Linked DNA regions of Kluyveromyces lactis. The protein of the gene in region 2 purifies or fractionates together with the protein of the main gene of each other region. This does not show direct contact. Links are inferred from orthologs where the notes say so. Each region holds a gene or a part of one and is shown on either strand. Other genes may lie near its edges.

The links.
Region 1: the proteins of CCR4 (region 2) and CAF130 purify together in Saccharomyces cerevisiae (affinity purification with mass spectrometry; 6 studies listed by BioGRID, with this or other methods). This does not show direct contact. The link is inferred for Kluyveromyces lactis from reciprocal best matches to the Saccharomyces cerevisiae genes CCR4 and CAF130.

Annotation. Positions count from the first base shown.
Region 1 is NC_006041.1:353,787-371,887, reverse strand, and holds CAF130 (CCR4-NOT core subunit CAF130), read left to right. Parts: upstream 1-9,494; coding exon 9,495-12,893; downstream 12,894-18,101. Other genes in the region: PEX7 (Pex7p), read right to left, coding at 1-246; ubiquitin-protein ligase SAN1, read right to left, coding at 573-2,687; KLLA0_E04049g (pepsin-like aspartic protease), read right to left, coding at 3,584-5,353; PEX4 (E2 ubiquitin-protein ligase peroxin 4), read left to right, coding at 6,293-6,769; KLLA0_E04005g (RidA family protein), read left to right, coding at 7,000-7,413; SUE1 (Sue1p), read right to left, coding at 7,913-8,488; URN1 (Urn1p), read right to left, coding at 12,886-14,193; PRE9 (proteasome core particle subunit alpha 3), read left to right, coding at 14,599-15,348; MAY24 (May24p), read left to right, coding at 15,654-15,658, 15,737-16,154; KLLA0_E03873g (SH3 domain-containing protein), read left to right, coding at 16,526-17,188; and 1 more. UniProt on the Saccharomyces cerevisiae protein: Acts as a component of the CCR4-NOT core complex, which in the nucleus seems to be a general transcription factor, and in the cytoplasm the major mRNA deadenylase involved in mRNA turnover.
Region 2 is NC_006042.1:1,463,129-1,479,145, forward strand, and holds CCR4 (CCR4-NOT core exoribonuclease subunit CCR4), read right to left. Parts: upstream 7,857-16,017; coding exon 5,484-7,856; downstream 1-5,483. Other genes in the region: SPO75 (Spo75p), read right to left, coding at 1-552; dolichyl-phosphate-mannose-protein mannosyltransferase PMT2, read right to left, coding at 984-3,209; nucleoside transmembrane transporter FUN26, read right to left, coding at 3,569-4,858; ATS1 (Ats1p), read right to left, coding at 9,285-10,334; STD1 (Std1p), read left to right, coding at 12,213-13,586; ATP-dependent RNA helicase DBP5, read left to right, coding at 13,985-15,394. UniProt on the Saccharomyces cerevisiae protein: Acts as a catalytic component of the CCR4-NOT core complex, which in the nucleus seems to be a general transcription factor, and in the cytoplasm the major mRNA deadenylase involved in mRNA turnover.

The DNA.
Region 1 (18,101 bases), on a different chromosome or scaffold from region 2:
ATCGCCTTGAGCAACAAGGCACTGGTTCTCATGAGATTCATTCCATGCCAAGTCGAAAAGCCCATCTTGAGTTAGGAAAGAATTAGACTCTACTAACTGACCATTTGGCATTATGTCTAAAATTATTAGTTTTCCATTACCAACCAAACCAAAGTTAGAACCTGAAGCAACCGCAAGTTTGTTATCGTAGAAAGGTGAGTAAGCTACACCGTAACCACTATAGCCTTTCATATGATACTTTAACATCTTGCTTTATGATTGCTTTCGTTACTTTCTGCTATCCTATTCGACCTAGTTGATTCCTGGTCAATTGTTGTTATGATTCAAAACCTCTCCCATTGAAATATGCTTGATTCATGTAACTTGTGATTTTTCAATGATTTCATGAGTCTTCTTAAATATCAAATAGAAACAGCTGCAGAGAGTTTAAAGACGGAAGGACATTAATATTAAGATAGATAACGTACGTACATTATGTATACTATGCGGAACGATAGTTGATGGCTTATACAATTAGTCTTCTTTGCGGTGATAAGATTGGTGTTAGATCTTTTTTTGGTTATTTGACGATATCATTCGTTGGTAGCATCCGTAACATTATTCTGGTTTCCATCAGAAGTTGCCCGCTCCGTATGCACTGCACTAATTTCAGGGTTTTCTGCATGGTTGTTGGAGGATTCCTCTGTGTGCGATGCAATATTAGCAGAAGTTGGCTGTGAATTAGTAGTTGTTGAATCAACATTGGACGAGGATGTTTGAGATGTTTGGTTTGGAGGTTCTGGAATATCTCCCGTGAAATTCACAGTCCGAACTCCGTTAGCATGACGATAGCTAGCGACTCCGGAGCTGAATATATTGGAACTTAGTAATGGATCAATTTGTGGATTGGACAGAGGAGCTGATGTTCTGCTTCCTCCTTCGTGACGATGTCCGGCAGTATTTCTGCCCAATCTAAAGAAGGACGGTAGTCTAAATCTACTTCCGTTAGCCTCCGAAGAAGGGCGGTTCCCGTTACGCAATGTATTCAAATGTTCCAAGTATGCAGAATAGCGGTTCTCTAGAGCCGGGTCAGTATGTGGATTAGCTGGTGGTGGTTGGATGTTTGACGGAATTTGTGTATTGGTGTTTTGACCTCGCTGTCTCCGACCAAGCAATGGCAATAAATTGAAAAACCTTCTTGTCGTTTGCGCAAAATCATGTCCAACATGACTGTTCTGCTGACTGTTCGTATTTTCCGCATTAGTAGCAGTATTATTGTTGTTATTGTCATCATTATTGTCATCGTTTCCACGACCAGTACTAGTTCTTTCTTCGTGTGCTCTACGTAAAATGGCTCTGATATTTCCCAACAATCTTTGATTATCTTCCGGCAGATCGTTGAAATGGGTTATTACTGGGGTATTCGTTCTTCCGGCCGCATGTGTGGTATTATTATCAGCGGTATTAACGGGAACTGGATTCGTAGCCTGTTGATTTTCTGTGCTTCTTTCTCCGGTAGCCGCTGGGGACGTGGCAGTAGTTGCTGCCGCTGTAGGAGTTACACCAGTATTAGCAACTGGGGGTGTGGTTAAAGCCGTTGGTTGGTTGGCATTTGGATCTGATAGGAAAAATATGAAACTGGTTGAAAAAGTTCTTGACTGATTATTAGTATCATTAGTAATATCTTGCGCAGATTCTGGTTGCTGTCTATTTTCATTAGTATTTGAATTTTCCGTAACACGAGAACCATCCGTTTGATTGGAGGCTGTTGTGCCAGTTGTCATGCTTTCTGCTGAACTAGTATTCAATTGATTTTCTCTAATTGTGTTCACTACAGCTGGTTCAGGAGAACGTTCATAAAGCAGTCTTCTGATGGATTCAAAAGTAGATTGTTGAGTAGCGTCTGGTCCATTGTTTCCTCTTGAGGACGTATCATCGCTGCTGTGAAGAGCCTGTAATTCCTCTTCGCTTAAGATAGGTGCCCTGCAGATCGGACAGCTGTTATGTTCTGTTGTCCATTTGTAAAGACACTCTCTTCCAAATACATGACCACAAGGAAGTACCGTGGCTGAATGTCCATAAGTAGGAGTGTCTTCTTGACCTCCTTCCTGTTCTCCTGTGTGGTGTGCACTTGATTCAGGATCAGGCAGTTCATTATCTACACGTTGATCTGATTCGTTCTCTGGTAGGCCTTCTTGATGTGGTAGCGGTGCTGCTTCTTCATTACGCTGTCTTTTAGAATTCGGTGACTCGGCACTACCAATTTCCTCCCGACCTCTCTTCGATGAAGTACTGGCAAAATCCTTGGGGTCATTAATTAAATCATCGTAACAAATAGCACAGGTTTTTTCGTCCAGCGTATCAACTTTCTGTACTTCAAGTTTCTCAAATGCTTCTCTCGTAAGTCCACTGTGTCTTCTTTGATCCCTGGTTAGTGTCTGGAAAATATATTCGCTGGCTAACGCTATCACTTCGTTTAGCCTCCCCGAAGAAGTATCACTCGGGACATCTGCAAATCTCAAAATCATAGGAGTGAATGCTGTGTTAGCAGCATCGTTGCCAGCTTGCTCATCATTCCCTGATAAACTGGCATAATTTATGGCTATTGTAAAATGGCTTCTGGATGGGCCGCTTGCACCGTTCTCACTTGATTCGCTACCCCCACGGTCAGGAGCACTATCACGGCTTTGATCATGGTTATCAGACATAACAACTGCCGTGTCGTTTGACCCTTTGAGCCCCACTGACAAATCAATTTTATTTCTCAGTCCAAAAAGGTTATCACTAATTCGAAGTGCTACACATTTTTATCATTTTTTTAAATACTCAGAAATCAACTGAAGTTCCATATTGGAAAAATGCCGGAAATCTCTCTGATTGTGGTTGGGAACACCAGACGTTGAGAACGTCTTTTCATGTGACACACCTATTCCCAGCAAAGGAAAGAATATAAGAGGAGTACTTGGGTATTAGTAATGGTTCGCTGTAGACTGTAGAAAATATATATATTAACACTCAACTTACATACTCACGGGGTTACAGCAATGTAAATTTTATGTGCTTATAGTGGTACAGAAAAACCTATAATTCTTAAAAGAGATACATAGAACTGTAAATATTGGCTGGACAAGGGGCTGATTGAGTTTAATTAAGATAGTGTCCGTCTCTTGGTTGGGATTTTTGTTCACTCAAACAAATTATCGGAATCAATTGATCAATATAAAATGCTCGACCTGTCGAAATAGTTCGAGGGTAAGTTGAACAATATTCTTGATAGAGAGTATGCTTATGTGAGAAATTGAATTAACTAGGGTGTTAAAAGAAATTCTGATTATAGGCTTTCTGTTCCTATGCAAGTGGAACGGAGATCGAGCAACGCATCAATTTTTGGGCAGTGAAAGGGTTTCTATTGGCAATAGAATCTTTGATCTGACAAAGAACCGAAAATGTGCTAAATTAAGACAATGAAATAGACGAAGAGAGTAAGACCAAATGTGAGATGATGTGAAACGAAGTTCCTCTGATAGAAGTCTGCATCGTGTGTGTTTGTGTGTATTTTTCTTTTTTTTTCTTTTGCTTTTATTAAGTAACAGTCTTCCTCAGCTCAGAACAAGGATGGGATGGAAACTGCACTTAGAAGTAGACAAATTAGCGCAGCCAAGTGTGGTACTGGCAAGCTGGAGGCAGCGCCTTCTTTTTTTGAAGAGGAACCGGTTGAGGTTGAACCCGAATTACCGGAGGTTGAACTGCCGGAGCCTGAAGATCCTGTACCAGTCGAAACAGTACCATTAGCATTGTTGGTAACTGTGAAGATATTACCTCCAGTAGATAAACTTGCGGCAGTAGACCAAGTGCTGGAGTAACCTGGAGCTGCAACAGCACTTGGCACTGAATCCCTGATGACCTCGATTTTTTCGTCGCCGCTAGTGTAAGAAGCTTGTGCTAGCGAGATTTCGAGCTCTTCCAAATCGTAAACAACGTAAGCACTGGTTAGGAAGGCATCACCTAAAGTAATTTCGTTATCAGATTGAGGGAGTATTCCCAAGACACATTGGGAAGAACTGCTCGTTGTAACAATGTAATCACTTAAGGGGGATATGATATGGAAGCCACCAAAGTCGAAGACAAGATCATAATCACTGCCAGAATCACAATCCACAAAATAGTATCCTGAACTGGAAGAGTACGTAGCACTAACAGAACTTGCAATGGCAGCAGCTAAACTACTTGGGAAGTAACAGAATGTGGCACCAGTGTCTAGCAATGCAGGGTACTTAGTCTGTGTCACAGTCTCGTTACCATAACTGCTCGTCACACCGATACCTTGTAGAGTGATCGATAATCTAATCTGTTCAGTGTAGCCTATGCTTCTGAGAGCGTTGACCATTGGAACGGTGTACAACGTACCTGTATATTTGCTGTGATCGACGGCACCGAATAAGATAGAACCAGAATCCGCATCTAAGTCATTCAAGAAAACAGAATATGCATTCTTTTCGATGACGCCGTTTCTTTGCAACACGATAGGGAAGTTATCGTATTGATAGCGGTTGTAGGTGCTTAACTGACCGGAATAAGTGGATTCAGAACCTGTCAATCCAATACCTAAGACACCGAATTGGGAATCTGTGTAGTTCGAGACAGCAAAGCTGAGCCCCGTGACGTTGACATCGTCCAAGTGAATTTCATCTACACCCCAATCACCATCAGCAAAGGTACCATCCGCGTAAGAGATATAGAATCTAGTGTCATTTGATTGCCAAGAAGACGACTTTGACGTGTCGAAAGTACCAAACTCAGAACAATCCAAAGTGGCCAGGCTTGATGGGACAGATCTTATAGAAGTAGCAGCCACTGTACCCGATGTGAGTGCAGTAGGAACTGTTTGCGTACCAGCACTACCAGTGGCACTAGCGATACCAGTGTAAGTGTAATCGGTGGCTACATCAGTACCGAAAACACTCAGTAAAGACGACAACAGGGCAGTATAATCCTGTCTTTTTTTCTTCGAAGAAGACCTAGAAGCGGAGCAGAACGGATTGCCCGATCCAGGCACCCACAAATCAGAAGAACCAGTATCGATTAAAACACCAACCTTTTGTGCAGGAGTACCAATCTCTAAATCAACAGAGTAAAACGTGTTCTGGTTATCGATTTCAACGTCGACGTAACCATCTGCACGCTTCTTCAAATGGCCAACGCGTCTCTTCGATAATGACGCCTCAGACGCGTCATTCCCTCTCAACTTGTCAAAAGACATGAAGACATGCTTCTTATTCGCCTCACCGACCTGGGAAACGTCACGTTTCGTAATATACCCAGCAGAACCAAGGGACGCCAACAGCGCCCCCAAACAAACATCACTTAACTTCATTGCTGGTGTTTGCTATATATGCGCCTTGGATAATAAAAGGGGGAATTAGTAACCAGTACCAAGAAATGAACTTTAATTATTAAAGAAAAAAAGACGTCAGCCAAAGTATAACGTCTTCTGTAAAATGAAAAGACCCTTTATATATATACGCTAAGACAATAGCCGCTGTTTTCTTTCCAATTCAATGAGTCAGTTACCTCAAACTTTTAGGAGAGAAGGTACGTGATGTGAAATGCAAGATGGGTAGAAACATTTTCCAGTGTACGTTTAATCGTGGGAAAAAAACCTTTATAATAAGGCAAGTTTCATAGAACTTCCTTTTTTTTTTTTTTTTTTTTCAACGTTTCAAAGTTCCCACATCGCCAACTTTCGACACGGGAAACAAGCACAAGCCTTCATAGAGCGGGGCATTTCGTCAACGATTAAATATAGAAATGAAACGAGGCAAGAAAAAAAAAGAACTGAGGACACACCGTGAATGCAGATGGGAGCGTAACGGGCCAAGCCCCATCGATGACGAGTATGTTTTTTACTCTGTAGAATGTAGAGCAATGTGTAGTTGTGTAGTTGTGTTGGCTACGTTCTCCTCAGGGTCTGTCCTGTGAAGTATATCTGGGTAACTAGGTTACGGACGTGGTTTATTTTGAGTTGTCATTTGAAGCGTTTTGGCAATTTGGTGACCACTAAGTTATCTGGCTCTCCAGTAATACCCGTAATACGCAGTAACTGGGTGAAGAAATTTTGACAACTTTGTTGCCTGAGCACTCCATCGCCGAAAGGGTGATTTGCTGCAATTTTTTTCCTATATCTTATTGAAGAACTGAAAATTATTCAATTTGGTTCAATTCTGTGACGTGATTGATTGATTGACGGTCTTTGCACGCACGCAAGCACGCATGCATGCAAACACACACACACATGGGAAATTAAAGATCGAAGATGAGTAGGATTGTTAAGGAGTATATGGGGTTGCAGAAACGGTTGCAGACCCCTGAATTCTCATGGATCAGTTTTCTTGCACCGGTAGATGATGATGACTTATCCGAATGGGTATGTCGATTCCAAGGCCCGTCAGAATCGCCGTTTGAAGGGTTTGAGTTGGGTTTGAACATTACCATAGATCTGGAAAAGTATCCGATCAGTGGCGGTCCTCGGGTTCTGTTTGAGCCACGTACCGTGGCTCACCCTAACGTGAAGTGGGACACGGGCGAGATTTGCCTAGATCTTTTGAAAGATGCATGGACCCCGATATATACCTTGCTAGATGTTGTTGGAGCTATAAGAGATTTGTTGGCAGACCCTGGTTTGGACTCGCCACTAGATCTAGACATTGCCCAGATATACGATGCTGACTATGAAGCCTACGTGCAGATTGTTAGGTATAGACTTGAGGAGGCGCGGTTGGCACGCGTTTGAGTACGACTTTTACGTAGAAATACACAGCAACATGGCTGGATTTTTCATTTTTCCTTGCAGTGAAATTGAATAGGAATGATTGAAAAAGGATTAAATGATGGAAATGATGCAACTTATATTCCTTTGTACATGTTTTATACACAAATGTATGTTACTTTGACTTAGTACTTTCTTTTTGCCTAGCTTCCCTATTGTTCGCGGGGTGGAGACACTTGATTATCGAAAGAGAAATGGCTAGAAAGATTACATGGAAAGACGTTGGGGTTAAGGACGGGTTCCCATTAATTTCACCTGGGTTCGCTACAGAATCGGGGAATCAGTTACTATTCAGTAGTGGTTGTGTTGGTACAGATCCTGTTACCAATGAACTACCTGAGGATTTGGAACAACAGGCTAGAAATTCCATGATCAATTTGAAGAAAGTGCTTGAAGTATCTGGATCTTCTGTTGATTCGGTCTTGAAAATCTTGCTGTTCGTTTCCGATGGTAGTTACGCTGGTATCGTTAACAAAGTTTTCAAAGAATTCTTCCCTAATCAACCTGCTAGATCGTGCATTGTCGTTGCATTCCCCAACAATAAATTGAAAGTCGAATTAGAATGTATCGCTGAGATTCCATCCAAGAAAAGATGGTTCAAGTTGTGAAGGCGGGGTTTAGATTTTCCGGGCTTTGCGTTCCAAAAACTGTGGTGGAAAAGCCTATTATATATATGCCTCTATAGCATGTTAATTATACTATATGTTAACGAATATATGTTTAAAGAACAGACTTTGCTGGGAAATTTACGAATGTTCTTAATCCAATCTATGCCATAATAACTGAAAAGCAAATTCAATTACCATGGCACAGGGTGAAAGTACAAGGTGAACGGCGTGTAGTGTCCGAATCAAGTAAGATGTCGAATAAGGTTGCTGCGATGTGAAGAGCATTGAATTGTAATAATTAGGAAGAAAAAAATAGAAGGGCACCGGATGAGACTTGAGCCTGCAGCTTGTTTATGTGTATATTTGTGGTATCCGATTGATAAGAATTAATGAGTTTTCCAAAGTTAAGACCAGCTTTCCTCTAAAACGGTGAATTGAATGATAGGTTTAATGTATGCAGCGATGGGGTAGGATCAGTCCATTCCCAAAATAAAGTGCATTATTTCAGCTTCCACTGCTGTAGATACTCTTGAACCACTTCTTCGTATTGATCTACCGACTTCTCGTCGGAAAGTTCATCTGTCTGTTTTGGTGGGAACTTCAAGGTCATCTTCTTATCCTGTGGTTGATCCAACTGATAAGGTTTCAAACTTGCAGATACTTTATTAGGTACATCGTTCCATTCAGGGTAGAACTCCATCCCCATTGCACTACTGGACCAAAGAGCGCTTTGTAACAACTTGTTTGGTATCCGTGGATTATAACGCCACGTCCCGTTCACGCCCCCAGATAAGATCCCTCCGGTCCCGTTGGGACCGGCCATGAATGGATGTTCTGGTTCGGATGCGAAAGCTGCCTTAGACTTTAGTTTACCTCCCCCATTCTTCTCCCTTTCCACTTCTAGTTCCTTCACTTTCGCTTGGAATAGCGGGTTATCCCTCAGCGGAGACACAATAGGCCTGTATCCGCTGAACAAAATGTCAGCCGTGAGTTCTTGTGGCGCAAGAAACCTTGTCGTTGGCACGCGAGGAAGCTGTCTATACATTTGTGTGGCTTTGGACTTTGGAAATGGCATTTTCCTATGGTTGTATTATACTTTTTCGATGCTTTGATGCTTTCAACTAGATAGTAAAACCTGTTTAGATTCTTATTTGTCCGACAGTACGTTATCAGACCTTGCTTTTAAATAGTCTGACAAGAAAACACGATATTTCCGATAAACGATTTAATCCCCTGTTTCCTCTGAAAATATTAATCCACCGAGCTTTAGGAAAATCACGTAATTTCACATACTTAAATACTTAAAGCAACTAAGTAATCAATTTCGAGACGATAATCCAAGCGTTAAACCCTTGAACTATATATACTCATTTTATATATGTCAGATCAAAGGATGATGAAACCGCATATGTCATACGTTGCTCACCGAGTCAATCCGACTCGTTTTCACACTATGTCACTATGTGTCTAAATAAGACTTCACACACCCCTGGTTTTTCTTGTGTAAGACTCAAACATTCTGGGGGAAATAGCGGGCAAACCTTCGGGTACCACGCGTGTTTCTAGCTCAGTTTATGGGTGAGAATTGAGATTAGCCAAATTCTGAAAAACTAAGTAAAGAAATGCAAAAACCGGCTAACGGTATATGCAGTGTTAGCTGGTGCTCTCGGCGATATCGGATCAAGGATTGGTATCTCGGGGCGGGTGTGTGGGTGTATTACAAATGTTTAAAGGAATGTGATATTCACGTGAATATCACGTTACTGAACTTTTTTGGAGGAACCCATCTTTTTTTTTTTTTTGAAAAACACATTTACAGATATCAAATGTTATAATACTATTATAGTTTATGTTCTAACATGAGATGAGGTGGGATGAGAGATCGAATGAAATGAAGCTGGGTGTACTTTTAGAGGATTGAGCTGGACTTAACTGAGTCAGTGAAGAGGAACGAACGGAAGAGCTGCTACTGCTTACCCTGGTATCGGTCGTTTGTTTTGTTTTAAGACTCACTCTTCTGGACTATAGAGAAAACCCTTTTCTCTAGCGCCGTGTAATTTGCATACGCATTCCAATTTACCATGCTACAGGAAAAGAGTTCTGTTCAGCGATTATTTTTGGCCGATTCGGATGTTGATGAGAGCGTACTGTTAGAAAAACTCGTCATTGCTCTTTTTACCACGGTTCCTGGACAAGCGGTTGTCACACAATTGATTAATGATGCCAAACGAACAAATGACGTTGATGGGGTTGAGTGTCTGATACGAATGAACGATCCCTACTGGGTGGCACTTTTCGGTACTTGGGCAACTGATAAGCATATTTTGTCATTATTTCTAGGGTGGGTTTTAAGGAATGAAACGGATCATATCGATTTAGAGAGGTATTCAGATCAGTCGTTTAAAATGGCTATGAGATTTCTTCTCACGAATCAGGACCCCAAATTCACTGCACCACTATGGGATACATCCAACATTTTACTAGATTATTTGCATAATGCTAAGCCTTTGATAGAAAGTGTTCTTAAGAAACTTGACGGCTCGCAGTTTTTGCAATGTCTAATGAAATACAACCGATTGTATGAATTTAATGGTTCTTACCAATGGTTTACCCCTCCGCAGTCCACATCACATGCAGAATCTCCAACTACAATTTTAGAACGTAATTCTACTTTTTTATCTACTCTAGGGAATTTTGGTAATGATATGGTTCGTGCTCTCTCTCAGTTGAAAACTGGCGATATACGGCTGAATTCACTAGAATCATACGGAAAGAATTCTGGGCATAATAATCCACCGTTGTCAAAACAAGATGATCACAATCCGTTAAACTTGAATGGCAAATCTGATCGATTTAATTTGTTTTTTAAGCTTGGGTTACACAAAGAGCCTCATCCACTCCTTGCAGAGCAATTTAACTCACTTTGCTTATTTGCGGATCCCATGACTCAACCTCCTCCAAACGATTCTCATATAATTTCATTGGATTTATTGCATGACCTGTATCTAGGTTCTTTGACTGCTTATATTGTTAAACTGATACCCAATTACCAGAAAGTCTGGAAAATTCATTTGAGCGCAAATTTGGAAACTATTACATTGGCTATTTTGCAGATGTTGCAGATTTGGGATTATAGATCTCTAGACAATTTGAAAGATATCCAAGCAAGAAGCCCTGATGCATACCCTAAATACATGACATCGTGGATCCCATACGATCTTTCTCCGCCCGAAATGGAAATTCTTTATATGATTGCAGGATTATCTTTCTATTCGATGCACAAGATGCACTCTGATAAGCCGCCGAGGTTGAACCCATTCTTACCTATGATGCTTCGAGCATGGAGAGGTTTAAGTTCAGCATTAGTGTTAGGTTTGCAAATAGATAGGTTTGAGGAAATGCAGATGCTATATGGTACTCCAGTAATTGTTAGTGCAGTCATTCGTGGAGCTTCTGCGTTGCGCTCAATTATCGCAACGATTCTCAACGGTCATGTGGATGAGAAGTTGCACGATTTTAAACATCAACCTTTTGGTGGGTTCATGTCTCCTCATGGAAGGAAATTATGCAACGGGGCTCTTTACACATATGAAATGTATTATTTCGCAGCACTCCTACCATCAGGTATGGATTATGACGAAATTGTTGAATTATTGACTGATATACAAAAAGGAGATAGAATTGATGAAGATGTCAGATATATGTTTGATTATGAGTACTTTGATTACAATGATGCAGATACAAGTAAGCTAACAGATGGTAAGCTTATGTTTACATCTACTAAAAATGAACTCGAACAGAAAAATAGATTCAGAATGCTTAGGGGACTCTACAAGCGCTGCCTTTGCAAGTTTAGTGATGAAGACGACAATGATGACGATGATGACGATGACGATGATGATGACTATAATGGTGAAAAAAGCGTTGTTGGATTGGATGAGAATGGGCAGATCAATGAAGCTGAAACCCCTCAAACGTTTAGCGAAAGTAGCAATGCTGTTGCTTTCACATCTTTAATGACGCACAGAGACTCTCAAAATGATTTCGTTTCTCATCTTACAACAGGTTATGATAAAAACGGTGATGATTGGAGGGATATACCTCGTGGATTAAATCTATATTATATGGATGATTACCAATTTTTGTCTAAGTTGGACAAAGTTTCTCTCTTTGAGTTGTTGAGACGATTACCAGATAGAAACGTAACGTTTTCTCAAGCCTGTACGGTATTGAGAAGTATTGCAACATGTGTGAAGCTAGAACAAGAACAAATTCTACTGAAATTAATTACGGCCACTTCTGCAGAGGTAGATTTGAAAGTGCTTCCTTTTTCTACTGATGAAGTTATTACGGCAATTTTTAATGATGATGGAGGAATTATAAAGCCTTTTCCATTTTCAGGCTGCAATGATAGCTTAGGGTGGAAAATCTTCGATGAGTTGATGATGAGCCATGGGCACAGAAGGCTCTTAATCTATCACTTGACACATAGGTCGTACACTTTCTCGTCCATCCATTACGTGTATGAGTTGTTATTCGGTCTAAGAGGCAATCCTGCCAGGAGTTATGATTTAGAATCGACTAAGAACAAACAATTGGGGATTCTTAGCTGGACACCCACTGGAGAATTCGAAAGGGTTGCTGCAATTGAATTCTCTAGACAAGGAGTTATTGAACTTTCTGCAATTGAGAAAAAAATGTTGCTACAAGAATTTTTCGTGGGTGTGTCTTCAGGACTGCTAGGTGAGTATAATGATGCGGGTTTTGAAGCTTTTTCAATTAAAAATCCTTCAAAAGTGTATGTAGATGATTATGGTGAGGAGTTCTTCTCTGCAACATCGCGTAAGGCTGAGATGTCTGGGAAAGTAAAGATGGTGTGTTTCATTTTAGAAGAAGTATTAAACGATAAGGAATTCGAGTTTGTTCCACATGAAGATTACGTTTACGAATTAAAAAGGTTTTTGATGCAATGGTCGACGTTTTCTGCTGAAGCATGTTCCATGTATGCTCTTTTGAAATCGAAGGCTTTAGGGAAAGTTCTTGATCTAGGGACCGAGGGGTTAGATGATCGGCCAAATACTGACCCTGATGATCAGCTTTTGCCAGTAGATTTTGATAAATTAAAACTAAGTGACATAGATGACAGATGGGATACGGAGACTGATACAAGCATTGAGAATGGTGATAAGACGTCCATTATGTCTGAAAGGTTCTCCAGAATGCTACCAGTTCAATCTCTTGATGGACAGCCTGTTGACAAAGTTTTCCGTCACCTTCTTCAGAAATATCCTTTGACTGAAGGAACTCCTATTCACGGAAGGATAACTTTGGAGTACCACGATCATATTCTGCCACTGGACATCAGAACGCATCAATCATTGCATAGAGAATTTTTGGCGGTCTTTGATATTGATTACTTAGACATATTAGAAGCTCGGCAGCAAGAAGCAGAGGAAGAGTGTGATGAAATGTCTATTTAGAATACTGATCTCGTAGTATTTCTTTCAGAGCGGCTAGTTTGTCTTTGATACCCAGAATATAGTACATAATTTCATTTTGCATGTAGGAATTTTGAAGATTATCAAGAATAAGTAGCGCGTTCTCCAATTGAAGTAGTTGAGTTTCTAACTTAAAAGAGTCCGACGGTGTCTCTTCTAGCATCAACTGCGATAACTTTTCCGATATCGGAGGAAACCGAAGTTTATTTTTCATCATCTTTTTGAATAATTCAGTGCGCTGTAGGTTATCCATTCTTTTGTAATAGGCGATTACCTTGGAAGCAAACTGTTCTTGTTCTTTCTTGGTAAGAGTTTTATTGATTTCCAGTTCTTTGAAAAGAGATTTATTTTCTTTCTTGATATTAGAGAATAGGGTTTCAGGAGTGATATTCGCTTTTGAAATAATGTGTGCCAAGTAGTGATACTTTGTTGGTTCTAGAGTAACGTCTGAATCTTCTTCATCTGAGTTTTCAGCTGAATCTTGTGCATTATTTTCATTATCATTATTTGAATTATTGAGCTGTTGAGAGCACCACGTTTGAAATAGTTCATCCCGTTTGTCATTAGAAGTAATCAAATAATAGCGTGGATCATGCATTATCCGCTTTGCTTGGATCGACCAAGTTGAGTAAGGATCTAGTTGAATTTCATTAAGTAATTGAATGAACTTAGATTCTATTTCCGTGTTATTCAACGACGGTAGCGTATCCTCTTCTTTAACATCTATAGAAGATGGATCATTCTTTTCTTCTACCTCTGATTCTTCACCAGAATCATCTGATGAGGAAGAGTAACCAGAAACTAAAATATTACTCGATTCGGATTTATCTTCCGTGTCCACGTTAGAATTTGTTACTTGTGGTCTCTCCTCAGTGATATCGTTTTGTTCTTTGTCGTTACTGTCGAGTTTTGCTTGTAAAACATCTCTGATCTCTCCATAAACGTCACGGTCATTTCGAAGATTGAACCCTCGTGCTACACCTATAAGCAATGCAAGAAGAGATGTATCAACTTTATCCAACAAAGCTTTACTCTCATCATCCGCCAGTTTGAATTGGGACACATTAGATTCATCGTTGTGAAAGAATTTGGAACCATCTTTACAAATCACTAGGTTCCAGTAGTTTCGTAGAGGTAAACAGAACACTGGCACTCTCAATTCCTTCATACCAGCTTGCTGGCTTCCGAACTCTTTTGGTTTTTCCTTTGTGGATACCTTGGACCTCGTATTGAAGTAGTAGAAATTCCCCGAAGGATCTTTAAATCGCTTCCATTCGCTCATACTTGATTCAGATAGGAACAATGGGCTCTCCGCCAATTTAGTTAAAACTTTAAAACTTTACTTTCACAGACAGGTGCAGCAATGCAAATAACATCTCTGAGACAGGTCTTCCACCTCGTACACTGGGTTGTTCTCACTAAGAAAATCCATTGAAGAGCCGTTAAACAAAGGTTCGTTCTTTTATTTTTTTTTTAATGTCGACCTTTAAAATGAAATAAAATACAATCAAAGTTAGAAGAAATCCAGTGGCAAACCTTTGAAACTAGAGATTGAACAGCAATTGGATTCAACCAGATAGTTAAACTTGTAGCTAAAGTTCATCGAAAGTAGCAGCAAGAGCATTTCTGTGAGCGTACAGGTAATTGGTCTGTGAGAATATAAAGAACAACTAAGAAGTCAGAACAGATGGGGTCCAGAAGATACGATTCGAGAACAACCATTTTCTCGCCAGAGGGAAGATTATACCAGGTTGAATACGCTTTAGAATCCATTTCACATGCTGGTACTGCGATTGGTATCATGACTGAACAAGGTATTGTATTAGCAGCTGAAAGAAAAGTGACATCGAAACTATTAGAACAAGATACTTCAAGTGAGAAATTGTACAAGTTGAACGATAATATTACGGTTGCAGTAGCTGGGTTAACTGCAGATGCTGAGATTCTAATAAATACAGCCAGAGTACAGGCTCAGAGCTATTTGAAGACGTATAATGAGGAAATACCTGTTGAAATGTTAGTAAGAAGGTTATCCGATTTGAAGCAAGGGTATACTCAGCATGGTGGTTTGAGACCATTTGGTGTTTCGTTCATTTATGCTGGTTATGATGACAGATACGGGTACCAGTTGTATACCTCGAACCCATCTGGTAACTATTCCGGTTGGAAAGCCATCTCTGTTGGTGCCAACACACAAGCTGCTCAAACTTTACTACAAATGGATTATAAAGACGATATCACTCTGGATGGGGCCATCGAACTAGCCCTAAAGACTCTATCTAAGACTACAGATTCAAGTGTGTTGACCCACGAAAGATTAGAATTCGCTACCATCAGCAAGGATGCCGAGGGGAAGATATACCAGAAGATCTATAAACCAACAGAGATCGCTACACTATTGGAAAAAACCGAAATAGTAAAGAAGGATGATGATTAACGATAACGACAAGTCATCCAACACATGTGTTCAACTACTGGACATTAACTGCCTTTATCCTCACTGCCATATATAAGTACGTATGTGTTTTAGAATGTAATCATCATTCAATCAGTCTACTGTCGAAAACGTCTTTACCTTTACAATTAATTAAAGAATTGAAGCTTTTTGTTGTTAAAATACTATTCGCGCATGCAATGTTGAGAAAAAGGATAAAACAAATTAAAGAAAACTCGTAGCTAGTAACTGTTTGGGCTTAATCTCATTACTCATTTAGTATAACCACGGTCTAATAAGCAAATGCTATGAAGTATGTCTGATGGTAGCGTTATATCCGCCGTTTAAACCGCAGAAACTTTAATTTTACTAACACTTATAACATCAAAAGAACATTCTTCATTACAGGAGATGTGCCTGTTGGGTATCAGGTGCCCGATTTCCCATCCTTATATTGGCCCATGAACAATGGTAAGTTCAGCGTCGCATATCTCTACTACCTCCCCGATATATGGAGGTTTACGATCTTCTGGACCATGATTCTATTTGCAATAGTATACGGAACTACAGGTGCAATCGCATGGACTACACACAAGAAAATCTTATTCGGCTTTTGGATGATCCCATTGTATATAATGATAGGCATGGCGCAGGCGTTTGTCTCGGGAACTGTGGTGGGTATATTGATCGCGATCATATATAAGGCAGGGTTATTTGCAATGTCTACATGGATTCCCTTATGCTGTGCTGTGGTCCAAATTTTATTTAACGTGAGCACAAGTTACTCGATGACAAGTCCGATCATATGAGTGATGTATATATATTAGTCGCATTCGGTTATATAGTTAATTTTAACCGTGACCCATTCCCTTCCTGACCTACACAGTTCATCTTAGCTCATCTCGGCCCTTTCTTTGGAATAGGTTTTTCCGTGCGGTCGGTATAAAAATGAACAAGGCTTATAAAAAGAACCAATCCAGAAACATGGAACAGGTAACTTAAGTAAACGAAACCTGTTAATATTGCTCTCGAGAAAACAGAGGATATAAGAGAATTGGAAGAAACCAGTTAGGATATCTTTTACGTCATACTTAGGGGACAAGGTAGATATCATCTAGATCCAGACTATATCCCATATCGTTTAATTTTATCAAATATTAAGGAATTGGAAGTATAAAAGATGCCATCAGTGGAAGAAAGTGTAGCTACAATTAAGTCAGAGTTGAAGTATTTGAAGGAGCAAGGTGCATTAGCAGAGTTAGCATATAAGGATATTGAATCGTTGTTACCAAGAGTAAGACCACAACCACCAGTAGCAGATACGATGGGTCAAAATAACGAGATTGTGGAAGCACTATATGCATTTCAACCACAACAGGATGGTGATTTAGCTTTGAAACCGGGAGATAAGATCGAGATCTTGGAAAAGTTAAGTCCTGAGTGGTACAAGGGCAAATGCAATGGTCAAGTCGGTGTGTTCCCAAGCAATTATGTGAAGTCAGTTGACACGAAAGATGTCGAAAAGAGAAGCTCTTCTGCAACTCCGGTTGCAAATCTGCCTCAATATGCGGCATATACTCCACCTGGACAGCAGATGCAAGTTCAGCCGCCAGTACAACAACAATCACCATTCCCACCACAGTTTACCGGTTATTACCAGCAACCAGTGCAACAACAGCCAATGCAACAATACCCTCAACAGCAGCCTCAAGAACAACCTCAAGAACAAAGCAGTCATCAAGGCTCCGCAGCATTTAAGAAGTTCGGAAGTAAATTGGGAAATGCTGCCATTTTTGGTGCCGGTGCCACCATTGGTTCTGATTTGGTGAACAGCATCTTTTAGAGATAGTTAATGCCATGTTTCTTACTAAGAAATTTTGATAAATTTACCTTACTAAGGCAGAAAATAGAGCTTTTTTAGCTCAGGCTTTCTATTTTGTCTTATTTTGCCAAGAAGCAAACACAAATCATTGTTTTATTCCGCCAATTACACTCGTTTATTCTTCTTCTTCGTTGCAAGCCTTTTTTTATTTCTCATAGATTTACCTGGCGGTTCATTTATGCTCATATGCTCGCATATGTAGAAATTAGCATTTGATGTTTGCAGTACCTACTTTTTCTACATAAATTTGCCATACATATGATGAATTCTGTTAATAACGTTTATCTTAGCTTCATTTGTTGAACCGTAATCGCCGAGGTCGTTACAATCACGGACCCAGATTGGTTTATAATTCTTGGGTAAATATTTGACCATAACCATTTTCAACGTGGCTACCTCCAAGTTGAGTAATGCAAGACTCTTCATCTGTTCATCGTGAGGGATTACTTCTTCCGATAGTGGCACATTCAATAATCTTTCAATTTCATTCAAAGACCTATTGATGGTGAACTTGGTGCCCTCCAAATCCTTAGCCCATTCAACACCTGAGCTTATTGAATGGCTCAAGAAATTCCGTAAAGCCCAAATAATCAAAAGCGCTGGAAGTAAGGACACAATAGAAAAGAGTAATTGTTGAGATTTTAAAAGCTTGTTGATACCATTCATAGCCATCGAACCGTCAACCTTCACCTTTTGCAATTGAATCAACAACGAACGAACCATATTGTCAAAAACAATGCTTTTCACAGGGTTCTCGATCTGATGTTCATAAATCTTCATAAAATCTTGTAAGTCACCGTCCATAATCTGTTTCGTTAAGGAATCAACATCTACATTAGTTCCCGGTGGAGAACGATCTCGGAGAAATTCGACA
Region 2 (16,017 bases):
GATGATGACTATCGACAATATAAGAAAGAACATAGATAGTGTTTTCAATAAACGTAAGAAAAAATAAGCATCCAATCCTGATTCTCGACATTCTTCAATAGATGTTGTCCAAGTCGGTTTGATCCATGACCACGGTTTGTTACCCAATGGTTTCGCTAGTGATCTTTTATTCTGTTCTGTATTCCCACTTGCAACTGTGTCATTTTTTTTATTTGGATACAAACTTGTGTTTGGCTGGTATATGTGAGTTAACCTATTTCGCAATATGCTGAAGAGTATGACTTGGATTATGCAAAAAACAAGAGACACTAAAACACCTGAAATGAATGAAGAAAAGGTTATCCCAAATTGCCGTTGTGCACTACCAGAGCGCGTATTGGATAATAAAGTTTTGAGTAACCCCGATGTATAATTTCTGTATCGGGATTGCAAAGGAGACGTTTCTTCTTTGTAATTAAGAACCAATATTGCCGTGTTGTCATCAACTTCAACATATTTATAGATTATTTTCCTTAAATAATCCAGAGCAGTAACATCGTTATCATGATTCATCTCAAAGCCTAGTTGGTCCCTGGCCAATGTGTCGGAGACGAACCCAACCAAGCGCGGTTAATATTGATGAATAGTAGAAGTCTTTCATGAGCTTTGTGAAATGATAGCTTTTCACCCCACTATGTTACATGTCACAAAAAAATGACAGCAAGCTAAATTGTTTGACAATCACCAAACAAGACTTTTATACTAAGAAAGTAATTACCTCCAACTTTGCTATCCAGTGCGAGTGAATTGTTATCACTTTTTGATTTTGGGGTCATCAGAATGACGACAGCATTAATTTTTGTGATCATGATCTAATTTAATAAACTATTTTATTTTATAAAATATATAACTTTACGTGGATAGTGAAAGTGCTTGAAATAAAAGCTTTTCCTATATTAACCATAATTTAATGATTTTCTGGATGTTTCGTTATGAAGATGTGATCAATCTGAGATAGTCCAGGTTGATAACCAGTTTAGGTATTCGTAATCGGTGCTTGGACCGGACATACCGAAAGAAATTGGGGCAAAGTAGTAGAAGCCATAAATTACGATAGCCATGTATGAGCCATAAATGGTGTATCTCATTACCTTTCCGCACTTAGATTTGTTCCATTTCTTCATCGAGATTTCGAACAAGTATGCCAACACTAATAAAGCGAAGTATAATGCTGGCAAGTAATGGTGGACGTAAGTAACTCTACTCATGATAATAAATGGAACAAAGTGCAAGCCCCAAGCCAACAATGGATAGATACCACCCATCAAGAATAAATTAATATCTTCTGGATTTGTTAGGTCAGAGTATTGACGTTGCCATCTAATCAAGTACACGGCAACCAAAACCATAAATGCTAGAACGGCGATAGTAGATGGCCAGGTAGAAGCTGGTGAACCAATTAAGAAATATTTGATGTTCTGTTCACCCCATCCACAAAGTCTGATACCGACATTTAGAGTTGGCCATTGCCAAGCGGAAGATGCTAATTTGTCCAACTTTTCAGCATTTGGAACCAATGCGTTGTTGGTAGCCATCATAGCCAAGTTCAGATGAATAAAATCTTTGATGAAACTAGTCTTTGGGTATTTGAAGTTTTCAGGTCTTGGAGGTAATTTTTCGTTGACGTTCGTTTCAATATTCCACCAAGTTCTCTTGTCTCTCTTGAAAGGATTCTTAACACAAGCGACTTCATTTTGTCTAAAACCCCATTGTGGCAAAGTGTTTCCTGTTTGAGATAGGTAGCAACCCATTTCCGCATTTTTCAATCTGAAAGAAGAAGTCAATGGATGTAATTTTGTTTCGTCTTCAGGACCCTTTTGGTCAACGATTTCGATGATCCAGTCATCCTTTGGATCACCAACCTTAGCATCACCGTAACCGGAAACTTCCCAAGCATTGGCTTGAACAGGGGCTCTATGAGGATGGGTGTGTAAATTTCTTCCTGTGTTGAGATGAACTAAACGGTATCTAGCACCATCGGTGACAAACTCAGTTTCTGTTTCGTTTTTGTCATATGGTGCGCTGAATCTTTGTCTGTCAAACGTCCAGACGTTATTACTATCTTTGTGGCCATATGTGGTAACTTGTTGTTGCTGAGAACCTTCTGGATAGGTCTGGATATGAGAGTGCAATAGACCACCTCCTAGGGCCTGGTTCTTGATAGTAATTTCAGATGAACCTAAAGCGACGTCACGTGGCCCTTCACCAACATCGGAACCAATCAAGTTTGCTTGGAACAAGGATGGCATATTAGCATCACCAGTACCAGAATGGGACAAAAGATCGAAATGGATCTTGAAACATGCTAAAAATACGGCAAATGGAACCAAGATTAAAAACACAAATCTGGAAGCCCAGTGAGCAGCGTATACCTTTTTTGACATCTTAGTATCTGCCAACATGTTCCATAGATCAACCACTGTGTAGATACCCACCATAGTAATGATCAACAGACCGACCATCTTAACAGAGATGGTACAACCAAGAGAGAACCCAGTGTAGAATAACCATTTCCACCACTTTTTAGTGAACGGTTTAGATCTAACGTTGTGGAACTTCACGAAACAAAACATGGACAATACAGTGAAGAACAAAAGCATCGAATCTAATAGAATAAATCTGCCTAGCGTGGTGTAAGAGTTTTCAAATAAAACTAAGGTAGTAAACAACCAAACGGTTGGTAACGAGAAGCCAATTGACTTAGCAGTGAAATAAGCAACTGGAACACATAATGCAGAAAACAGAGCATTGAATAATCTCATCTTGACAAAATCAATGTACTCTGGGTATTGCTCACCAGACGGGAAATCCCATGAACCGTTGTAACCGGCCAAGTAACCGGAAAAACCGACCAACATCTTACCCAGTGGTGGATGCACATCATGATAGAATTCGTGTCTTAAATAGTAAGATCCAAACTTACCGAAATGTGCCTCATCCCAAACAACATGGTCATTAGCGCCGATCTTGTACATTCTGATGAAAAAGGCAAGACCTGTAAAGATAATTGGCATCAAAATTGACTCCAGTTTCAACAATGGACTTTCGTTGACATGCTTCTGCTTTGAAAGATCTTCAGCTTCAGGCAAAACTTCAACTTCCTCAACAACATCTTTGCCTCTGTGTCTCAAGCTGCTCTGCAACTCGTCTCCAGATAATGATGCTGACATTTCCTGTAGGTCAATTCGTCTTATCGGGCCTTTCAAACTAAACAAGATCAAAATAATGAACGAATTTTTGCAACATTCACGAACTGATATTTACTTCAGTTCATGTTAATCAAAAAAAACACTTCGTTAACTTTATATAATATCGACGTGTTCAGTTTTTCGGTTTTTTTCAAGAAAAAAAAGGTGAAAAACATCATATACAAGGCAAGGAGCTAGTCATGTGACCTGCATGGCAACAGGGTCTTGCAATGTGACACGAAGTAGTTAGAACTAAGGATAATAGGAGTGCCGATAGTTCTAATATATAGTAGATAGACTTTCACTAAATTTCTCTCTTTAACAGTGAATATTATAGTATATTACATCTGTGAAATGATATATGCAAATAAGTAACTGATAACACTGCCAGACGCTAGACCGATTGACAAAAACACATTGGTAATGCCTCCTGCGGCTTTTCTTTCGTCTTCTGTATCTAATGATCTGCCGACGTTCATGAAACTACAGCTCGCCAAGAGTCCGTTGGTCAATCCAAACATGAATTGCCAGAAACTGTAGGATAGATCGAGAAACACACCAAGATGTGAATTCTTTCTAATGTTTCTTACGTTGAATAGGAAAAACACCGCAACCATTAGGATACGTAGCTGAGAGTAGATGAATATCTTACGTGGAGTTAGCATTTTGGAATTGAAAGTATGTTCTGCGATGATTCTTCCAACTAAATCGCCAATGTTCCAAAGCATGAATATGAATGGAATGAATTCAGAATTCCTTAACGGGAATCTTACCACGTACGTGTTTGATGCAAATACTGGGAAAATTAACGTAACGCAGAAGATGGTAAATATAGAGAGCACAAGGTACCTTAATTTCAGGAAAAGCACTTTGAATGGGACGTAAACCTTAGGCTCATCAGCTGTCCGCTGAGCCATATCTCCTCCAATGATAGGTATATCACTTTTTTTATATGCCACGATGGATGCAAACGACATGACACTAGTGGATAAGAAATATAGATTGATACCTGTCGCTGTTTGTTCCTGTTTTTGATTGAAGATCGAGACCATGAAGAGCACTAGCGACGGTAGTACCCCTGCGACGGCTTGTCCCACCATCACTGCATGATTGTATTCTGGTCCGAAAACGTTAGCCATAGCCATGACACCGGTTTGAGAGAGTGCAGTTGCAACGGAACTGACAAGCACTAGAAACATAATCATGATGAATGACAGTAAGTGGGATAACCAACGATGGAATAGTACCACACCACATAATGAAGTAAATACAATAATTTCGAAGAACAATCCACTAACAATTCTTTCAGTGTAATGATGTTGAATTTTGGATAAAATTATGTTAGACAGTACCGATGATATCGTACTAACTGTCATCATGGTACTGATGTAAATCCTTGCATACACCGACGTGTCTTGAAATACATCATGCTGGAAATATAATGACGCACTTAAGAATGAGTTCCACGGCCAAAGTAATGCAATACCGATAAGGAAAAATGCAAGATAATTAGTATCAGTAAGCTTGATGTATGTAGATTCTTTGGAAAGGTCCTTGGTTTGTATTTGGGAAATAGGATCATTTAATGCAGTTCCCGTTATTGGAGTTTCGTCATTTTCTTCTAGTTCCATAATTCGATGAAATATTTGGTGTATTAATTTTCCCCTTGAGTCTATTTATTCAAAATACAGACCAGCCAATGTATATATTGACCAAGTACTAATTAAAATCCCTTCATCAGTAATTTTGTAGCTTGCATCATTATGTTTTCCCATAAAACAACAATTTTCTGAAGGAATTCCTGTTTAGTTTCCAAAAATATGATAAGGAATTTACAAAAAAATCACTTAATCCGTCCAGAGACAGGAAAAGAAAAAGTGAGAAAGCCTGTCAGTTATACTTGGAATAGACTTTAAAACATTAATATACAGAAGAAAATAAAGACTAACGTTATAAATGATGAAGTATTAGTTGAAATGATGGGATAAACCGGTTTTAACATCCTAAAAAAAAAAGGCACTTCTTAGAATATCATTTCTTTGGTGGATTTTACCGGCACATATGGTTTTGTTGTATCAATTGAGAAAGGACACAAGATGTCTGATGTATCTTCTATTGATAACGTTAAATGAAATTTACAATTACAAGAGCAGGATGAAAGTGAATGTGGCAATAACTGGTATAGATATCTTGATAAAGCCAGCAATAAAGGGAACAAAAAGAAGTGAAACATGATTGTAAATAAAATTAGTACAATTACACTTTCCTGCTGGATGTTTGGGTGGCGTTACCCCTTGAAATTTCAAATCTTGTGACAAGAGGGATGTGGTCACTTGGGAACTTATCGTTAGGGAACCCAATAAACTTGGATGCATACTCCTCGTCGATCTTCCCTAGTAATCCGCGAACACGTAGTGATTGAGAGGAATACCAGATATAATCGATGACGTCGGTGAAGGAGGGTGTCATATTTGTGAATGGTAGTTCACCAATGGCGCCGTAACTTGATCTGAGCGACAAATTATGCGAGAAATTCTTCTGTGACATATAACCGAAATCTCTTTGATCAATATCTTTATGGTTTGCCGTGACGTGACCACTGTTGAATAATTCTACAACAGCAGAGTCTAATTGGGAGTTAAAATCACCACAGATGACCATAGGAATCTTCTTTATGTCATTGTTATTGTTTACATGGTGGTGCTGTTTGATTAAAGTCTCTAAATAGTCCAGCATCACGCCAACTTGGAAAGTTTTAACATCATTAAATTGTGGATCCCAATGTAAATGAGTAGTGACCACCCACACATTTTCGTTTGTATTCAAATGCTTTAGTTCTGCGATTAGCGCAACATTGTCCTTATTCATAGCACGATTCAAATAATCTTCTGTACGATGGAATTTTTTATGGCTTCTCCAAGCAGAACTAAAATCAATTGAATCTTGGAAGACCAATTGGAATTGATCCTTCTTGTAGAAAATAGCACAACCATCGACCTTTTTGGAATCCTTGGCGTGCATTGTCTTGGCTCTGGTCTTAGCGTGGAACAAGCAACTATAGTTATATTTTTCCATAAGAGGAACCCAATATTCCTCATATGTTAAAGTTTCAACTTCTTGCAAACATATAACATCTGTGTCAAAATCTAGTAACTGTTCTTTCAACTTTTCTCTTCTGTAATCCCAGCTTAACGCCCAAGATGGAGTGAAACGGTACATCTTTGGAGTAGCATAATGATGACACAACGTATTGTAAGATAACAATGTGAAGCTATTCTTCAATAAAGTATTGTTCATGTGATTTGTATTCTCTTGTAATGACTCGTATTCGTTAGTTGGCTCGCCATCAGCTGATATTTCAATAAATTTTCTATCCTTGGCATATGGGATTTCAGGCGCATTATCTCTGAGGTAAAAGATTAATCCAGTGACAGACTTTTCAGCTATAATTTTCACGAGTTGTTTATCAAGAGGATTGCCCTCCAAACCCAAAAACTGCAAGTTAAACAAATTACCAAATTCCCAGGGGATTGTTGTGATCATATTGTCAAAGAAATATAAATATTTCAACTGATAGCACATACCTAACTCTTTTGGTAGTTCTGTCAACCTATTATGAGACAAGTCTAACACTCTTAGATTTCTGAGTTTTTTGATGGAAGAGGGTAATGAAGTAAGGCTATTACCATTTAAATATAAACGTGTCAAAAATTCGTAATGGAACAGTTTTTCGTTAAGATTGAAAAGGGCCAAGTTGGAAAGGTCTAACGCGTGCCATAATTGATCATCATGTTTAGAGTTCGTTGGAGCTACCATGCGATGTTCAATTTCATCGTCTTCGTCGATATTATATTGAGACAGCTTCTTGTGTTGCAGAAGTAGAGAAGGTGTATTTGGATGAAGCTCTGCTTTTGGAGTATTCGGAGTTGAGAACCCTGTAGAGTTTAGATCAGAATTGACATTAACAGCAGATGCAGTAGCTTCATTACCGGATGAGGCCATCTCCATAAGATGTTGTTTAGTGTGCTCGACTAAAGACATGGATGCGTCATTACCTAAAGGTTGCTGACCTTGTTGCTGACCAGATTGACTTGGTTGTTGTTGCTGGCCCTGCTGCTGTTGTGACTGAACGCCATCTTGGCCATTAGTAGACAGTCCCAACTGATTTTGATTATTTAAGAACTTCTTCATGGCGTTTTGTCTAGCATACACATTCGATTGACCCAAAGACTGTCTGGAAACTGCAGCCAATTGAAGCTGTAACTTCCAAATTGGTGAATTCAACAACGAGGGGTCCGCTAAATGTGGATGGCATAACGGATTATTAGCATTGGACAATTGCTGAGCCACTAACGCAGCCTGGGCTGCATTAGGTGTTCCAACATTAGGAGGACCCACAGCTTGCTGTGGTCCCCCTGCACCGCCAGTTATCACATTCTGAACCTGGTTCATCATCATAGGAAGGACATTGTTTAGTTGGGCCGGCTGATGTTGGTTTCCTTGATTTCCCATCAAACCTGGCGGATGCTGGTGAAGCTGCTGAGTAACAGCTTGCGGCGTACCCACCATCTGAGGCACCGCTTGCCCAGCAGGTTTCTGGAATCCTGACAAGGGAGGCGGATAATTCATTTGCACCAATTCAATTATAATGTGTTGATAATAGTTTCAATTTTTTTCACTGCTGTTATTCGTTGATTCCTGTTTAAACTTCTATTCGTTGTTATTTCCAGCTTTTCTAAATATCAATATCAGTTTAGAATCTTACAACTCTCAAAATATGCCCAATGACCAGTTCTTATTTCTTAATATGTTTTCGGTTTAGTATCTCGATTATATTAAATTCTCCTCTTATATCAAATAAAAAAAGCACAGTCAGTACAGTAATAACTAGTCGTCTGATGAGGCTGTAAAGCTTCCTTAGTTGCCGAAGTCTATGTCTTTTAATGTTTAATGTTTTAATTTCAATATAAGATTTATTTAGTTCTTTCAAAGAAAAAACAAAGTCTTAAAAACCGTTTGATAAAAGGAAAACAAGAAAAAACACTCAGTAGAACCTGTGCAGAAGTGGAAACAAAGAGAGGTAACAATATTAGTGAGTGGTAAATAAAGAACCGGGGCACAGGTAGATGCACAATTGGTGTAGCTCTGATCTTTAAATGCCAATGTTCTTTTCTATGTTGTTGAGAATATTCCAGTTTCTGTAACTATCGGGGGTTAGAGCTTGCTTGTTACTGAAGAAGTGACAGCTGTTGCCACTCTGGTCTCGATACGCTCTACTCTGAGCTTTCGTCATTTTGATCGTTTTATTATATTACCCGGACCACATATCTGATTATGGCGAGGATTATCAACAGTTGTACTATTACCCGGACTTAATTTATTCGTGTAACGATACGCGGGTTACTATTGTTCACGGATATAGCAAGATAGCATAACAATAAAACAGTACAAGAGATTCCTGATTTGCGATAGTTATAATAGGTGCTCTAATATTACGAGCAATACCCAGTTAATTGCAGTAAATAAACCATTTACAGTTACTAAGGCCCTATTTCTTGTGAAGGACTTATGTATAAAAAGAAAAATTGAACGTTTTAAAATAAAAAAAACGAAAAGTATCTGAAAGTTCATCGCACACAACATACTTACAATATGATAACTCGTTATTAACAGTTGTATCGTTTATTATTTTTCTTCTAAAAAGATCAGTAAGAACTTGGATAAGTGATTATCTGGGTTCTTGCAAGGGACTTTTAAAGAAACTGGGCTACTAATCATCGTATTGATTTATCTTTCTCTGTTGTTTTCGAATAGGAAAGTGTGATTTTTACTTTGATTTCTAGTTGTTTGGGTGATACGAGTCTCTAGACATCAATAATCAAGAAGTCTATACATATTTTCCATGTGAGCCGCCTGGTATTTTCATTAATTGCCATGGTTGTATATTTTATATTTTCAACATGAATATGGGAAAGGTACTTCTTAACATTTTGTTACATAGATGCATATATACATTAGAGAGCGTTCTTCTCTTTGCTAAGAGAAAATAATCGGTGCTCACGTAACCAACACTAACCATGTGGTCGCACATCCTCCGAAGATGCTAACAACTTTTTCGTATTTTCCTATCATATTAAGGGGGCTGATAACGTTACTCTTGTCATTGATCGGATTTGTCTCTGTCTTGAATAAAGACCCACAATTACCGTGCTCTCCCCAGCCCCAACAATATACTTTCATGTCAGCAGTAGTTACTACCCCATGCTCACTACCAGTAACAAAATCCAGAGTTTCTGAAGGCAGAGGTTCTTCCAAAAACTGGCCATGAGAACCTCGTCCAATGGATATAAGCTTTCGTTCACCAGTAAGAATGTGTAACGAGGACCACATAGAGTCAATCTTGGCAATTGATCCGAAATCATGCGACAACTGTGATATCAATTCGGGAAGTTCTTTTGCTAATGACCCTTTTATAATTAATTTATTTTCAGTTCTGGAAAGTACACAGGTAAAGTCCTTTCCTAAAGCCATCTCGATATCAGACGTATCCCCCTCATAAATCACCTTTGGTTCCTCAATGATTTTCAAGGCTGAGTCGTCACACACTTGTAGCTTCCTATTATTGCCCCATCCGTATATCTTCTCCGGAACAACCACTACGCAATGCTGGAAAGTTGCATAACATCGGGAGCCTTTTGGATCTTCACATCGGAACAGATCAATCCATTCTGTACTGTGTTTCAACCTAGGTACCCCTAATTCGCCTTTATCACCCCTTCCACGGGTTTTAACCCAGCCATCCTCATCAATAACTATAGTAACTTCCCAACCACATGCAATATCGAGAAATTTCCCTGGAATAGGGATCCATTCGAGACTTATTTTAATGTCACTGGAAGCGCATTGACCAGAAGAGTTATCGCCACACCAATACAACGACCCATCTTCTAATAATAGTAGCGAATGGTTGCCCCCACATGACACTTTTTTAATACCAACACCATCACTTTGAAAGCTCAATTGAGGCAGCATCAAGTCCTCATCGTGTCCTACACCCAATTGGCCATTCCCATTGGAACCAAAACATAGTAATTCGTAACTTGCCATATGTCAAGAGAAACACAATATTACGAATGAGCACGCCGATTTGAGTCGGTATGGCTGTGTCAGGTAGTTGCAAGTGTCATGACATACCAAAACACCACATTCGTTTACAGCTGATGCACATTTGATATGCAACGAGTAGTAGAAAAGGCTAAATGCAGTTGGCTGACAGATTTCCGGTTTCTATCTGGTAAATAATTCCTGTCAGTCATGTGACAAAAAACATAAGCAGCCCGGAGCACATCACACCTGATCACGCCCGGGGCTCTCTGTTTTCTCCAAAAAACTGTTAACACGTTCGGAAAAATGTCGTCCGGATAAACCCTTCATAATTTTTGGGAATCTTTACCTTGAATATAGACCCACTTCCCCTACCATCATATCTTATTCTCGACCTTCGCATCTATGGGGCCGACCGAAGCAACTTTTTTCGTAGTAAAGTGGGAGACATGCGGAAAAATTTGTAACGTGGCTCCTTGTAATGCCCAAGATTCAAGGAATCGTTGGGCACAACGGGCCCGGAACAATGTTCTGGCCAAAACTCATTGCGGTGTACAGATGCTTAAATTATTGCATATGCGGTCCACAAAGGATATCAACCCTATTCTTACGTAGACGAATTCGTTGAACAACACAACCAAAAAGAAAATACAATAAAAAAAAATCTGGGCCACCGGAGCTTTTCACGTAGTCTTCCGGAAAAATATCTCAGTTTCCTACACCCTTTCAGTGCAAAAGGATGTCTCCCCACATCTGAAAAAGTTCATTTGGAATAATATTTTCTCCCTAAGGAATGTCTCCAAAAAAAAAAAAAAAAAAGGAAGCAAGGTATTTACCGACCAGTGCGAATTGACCAATAGTTTTACCGAAGCTGGAAAAATGTTGCGTACAGAAAAGGCAGAACATGGCATAATCCGCAGTTGGATGATGAGCTGAGGGTATCACTCAAAAGCTATAGTCAGAGCTCGGAAGAATATCCAGCAGGTTGTTTCCAGAGCAATCCCTGGCTTCAATTCATGTAGTATCCCCGGTAGAGTGCGTATGCCAAACTCACGTCTCAAGTGTTATGTAAGTAAATTCGTTCGTTAACTATTCATGTTCGGCAACAAACCCAAAGTAAAAATACAACTGGAGATGTCCCCCTAGGCCTATTGCCATACAATTGAAGTTCGTACGCTCTTTGTCCCGACATATCTGCCGTTTTTATTGACCGTATTTCACTGTGTATTGTTTATTCTCCGCCGTTTCCAGCCTCGGGTTTTTTCCCATTCACACTATACAGAGTGGATTTCACTTCTGACATATATATAAGTATGCATAATATTATACTTGGCTCCCTCTTTTAACCAAGCCATACGTATGATTCCCAAAAATTTACTTAAGAATACAACATACCAAATTCCTACCATATATTGTTCTGTATCAAACTGTCATCGTATTACCTGTGTTAGGTATCACTTCAAACAGCAACCTTTTTTCAAATCACCATTTGTGCGTCGGTCTTTCTTCCGATTATCCACGTAGAATACAGACACAAATTTTTTCCGGGCTCAGAATTTTTCAATTTTCTAGATATATCCATTTTTCCTTTAAAAAGAACACTTTCAAAGAGACGGAGATTATCAGACGTTTAAAAAGAGAAAAAGTAAGAACAAGCTCGAAACCGATCTCCTTTATCGTATATTTTTTCTGATAAAAGCACCAAAATCCCATAAAGTGGCTTACCAGGTTGGTCGAAACTCTGGCTGGTTAACAGAGCCACATATTTAACGAAAACAATTTACAAGAGGAACAAAAAAGTGAATCAAAAACCGGCCGTAAAAATTCATTTGCACTAAATCGAAACGGCATCGAGATATACACAAATATTCTCCTACAAAGATGTTTGTCTCACCTCCGCCCACATCGGCCACAAATCTATTACCTGGGGTACTCGCAAAAAGGAAAACCAATGACCTAGCTACGATACCAGAAGGTAAGAGTAGCAGTTCGCATAGTCTACCACAGGATCAACCCATGCTTAGTAACAATGGAAAGAAGGATTTTGTCAATGCCCCTCCAGAGTTTGCCAATAGAGCTCGTGATGAGATTAAGAGACGGCTATTACAGAAACGTTCAGGATCAACTGGTGGCGCCAGGTCATTACATTCATACCGCAGTAATGCATCATCTTCAAGACAAGATTATGGATCGGATGCGGCGTCCATTATTACTGGGCTGACGATGTCATCAGGGACAGGTTCCTCGATTTTCTCGTCACCCTCTTTCAATACAATTTCTACGCAACTTACTGATGCGTCATCTGTGATAGATCAACAGGACTCGAAACCTTTGACACTTACACTAGAGCAAGCTTTACCAACAATATTCTACGACATGTACAGCCCAGATATTTTGATGAATCCTCAAAATTTGATGAGCAACGGAAGGCCGAACTTTACTAAGAGAGAACTTTTAGATTGGGATATTAATGATATAAGGTCGTTACTCATAATAGAGTCCTTGAGGCCCGAATGGAACGGGAAACTTCCTACCATAGCATTCAATCAACTGCAGGGTAACAATGGTACGGAACCATCTATTCCTGAGTTCAGGTTCCAGTTATTACCACTGAATTCCCCAGATGAATTCATCATATCGACGTTGGTAAGTTCTGATCTTTATATCGAAGCTAATCTTGACTACGAGTTTAAGCTAACCAGTGCCAAATATACAGTCAATTCAGCTAGGAAAAGACACGAAGAGCTAATAGGCCATCACGAACCAGTCATGCAACTATCGAAGCCTGAATGGAGAAACATTATAGAGAACTACTTACTTAACATTGTAGTTGAGGCACAATGTAGATTTGATTTCAAGAAGGCTTGTTCTGAGTACAAAAAATGGAAGTTAGATCAACTGAAACAACAAGCTCTCCAACAAAACATGATTCTTCAGCAGCAAAATACTGTAAAGAAACCTAATATGCCACCTCCATCAATAATACCGAAGAAGTCTAAGAATTCGCTGCTCAGAAGGGCACTACTAAGAAACTCTCAAATCAAGATCGAGGAACAATTGGAACTTGAACAGCAACAGGCTTTGCAACAGCAACAACAACAAGCTCCTGTGCCATTAGTCGAAGTACCTACGAAAGTGTCTTTAACAAAAGACGAAAAGTCAATGGTCTGGTCCCATTGCCAACTGCAAGTGTACCAAAGACTAGGTTTAGATTGGACACCTGACAATGTCAGTGCAAACAGAATCCAGTCATGATCAATTGGAAATTACAATTACGGAAAACTTTCTCATTCTAATGAACATATATATATATATATTTTTTTTTTTTTTTTTTTAATGCTATCCCTTCAACTGCGTACCAAGCTAAATTTATGACCATATCTTGCACAGTACTGCCTTAAGTGCAGTTATTACATCACATATTAACAGTATATAAATATTTATTCGTTTAGTTCGATTGTAACTAGTATTATTCACCAGGTAGGGTAACTATATTTCCTCCATCTTTCGTTGGTTTAAAATTTACAAAGCTGCAGAAATTGAAAACTACAGAAGTATTAAAGACATAGAATAGCAGAGGTAAGCTATTGAAGTTGTCTTTGCTAATTTGTGACACTGCATACCCATCGGTGAAACCAAAAAATCACTTCAAGATGGCACAGCTAAGCAAAGAAGCCAGTGATTTGATGGCTCGTTTGAACATCAAAGAACCTGCAAAAAAGGCATCTGAGGACAATGACACAACATCTGAAACTAAGGTTGAGAAGGAAGATGCTAAAGAGACTAAAGCTGAAGAACCAGCAAACAAGGTTATTAACTCTGAATACGAAGTGAAGGTTAATCTTGCCGATTTGCAGGCAGATGCAAACTCACCATTGTATAGTGTAAAGTCTTTTGAAGAGCTTGGTCTATCTGAGGAGCTTTTGAAAGGGTTGTATGCAATGAAGTTCCAAAAGCCATCTAAGATTCAAGAGAAAGCTTTACCATTATTGATTAGAGATCCTCCACATAACATGATTGCACAATCACAATCTGGTACGGGTAAGACGGCAGCATTTTCATTGACAATGTTGACTCGTGTAGATCCAAATGTCAATTCAACACAGGCCATCTGTCTATCACCAGCGAGAGAATTGGCTAGACAAACTTTAGAAGTTATCCAAGAAATGGGTAAATTTACTAAGACTTCTTCACAATTAGTGGTTCCGGATTCATTCGAAAGAAATAAGCCGATAACTGCAAACATAGTTGTCGGTACACCTGGTACAGTTCTCGATTTGATTCGTAGAAAAATGTTAAACTTGGGATCAATCAAAGTCTTCGTGTTGGATGAAGCAGATAATATGTTAGACAAACAAGGTCTAGGTGATCAATGTATCCGTGTGAAGAAATTTTTACCCAAGACATGTCAATTAGTGTTGTTCTCTGCCACTTTTGATGACGGGGTACGTCAATATGCCAAGAAGATCATCCCAACTGCAGTTTCTTTAGAATTACAAAAGAATGAGGTCAACGTTAGTGCCATCAAACAATTGTTCATGGACTGTGACAACGAAGAACACAAATACACAATATTATCTGAACTTTATGGTCTATTAACCATTGGTTCTTCCATTATTTTCGTGAAAACAAAGCAAACTGCCAACTTGCTATATGCAAAACTTAAAAAGGAGGGCCACCAGGTATCAATCTTGCATGGTGACTTACAAAGTCAAGATAGAGATAGATTGATCGATGACTTCAGAGAGGGTAGATCCAAGGTCTTGATCACAACAAACGTTTTAGCTCGTGGTATCGACATACCATCCGTTTCCATGGTCGTCAATTACGATCTCCCTACACTACCTAATGGACAAGCAGACCCTTCAACCTATGTTCATAGAATCGGTCGTACCGGTAGATTTGGCCGTACCGGTGTGGCTATTTCATTCATTCACGACAAGAAATCGTTCGAAGTACTATCGGCTATACAAAAGTACTTTGGTGATATCGAAATTACTAAAGTCCCAACCGATGATCTGGATGAAATGGAAACCATCGTTAAAAAAGCTTTAAAGGCCTAGAGAAAAGTACTGTATCTACTTTTATATACATTTTCCCTATTGATACCTTTTACAGTCATAATAATAGTAATCGATTAGTTGAAATAAAAATCAACTTGACCAAAACATGGAACGGTTTCGACGTGAAGTTACAGATACACATATTTACCACTATCATTCTTTAGTGATTACTGGCACTATTGGATGAGGGTCTTCAGCATTGGCATATCTCAAGACCCTATTGCAAAACAGCGGAAATTCTGAAAGGGAAAAATGAAAAATAAAAAAACAAACTATAAAAATAATGAAATGGCAAAGAGTTTAACCATCTAATAAACCTTGCCCGTATAAACAAAACGGGGCCACCAGCACCAAACAACAACTTCAAGATGGATTCTGCTAAGATTATCAACATTATTATCGGTATGTCAGAATGATGTGAATAGAATTTCTTTTCATACTTCCTGGAATTGAGTGCGCAATTGCATAGCTTCGTGTTTTAGGTACATATCTGTGATTGCTTACTTAGTCATTTTATTCTTTCCGAAACCATGTTTTTACTAACAAACGCAACAACTATTTTGATAAATGAATGGCGGTGCCATCTTTAGCCTGCAAGGTTCGAGTTGGTACACATTACATCC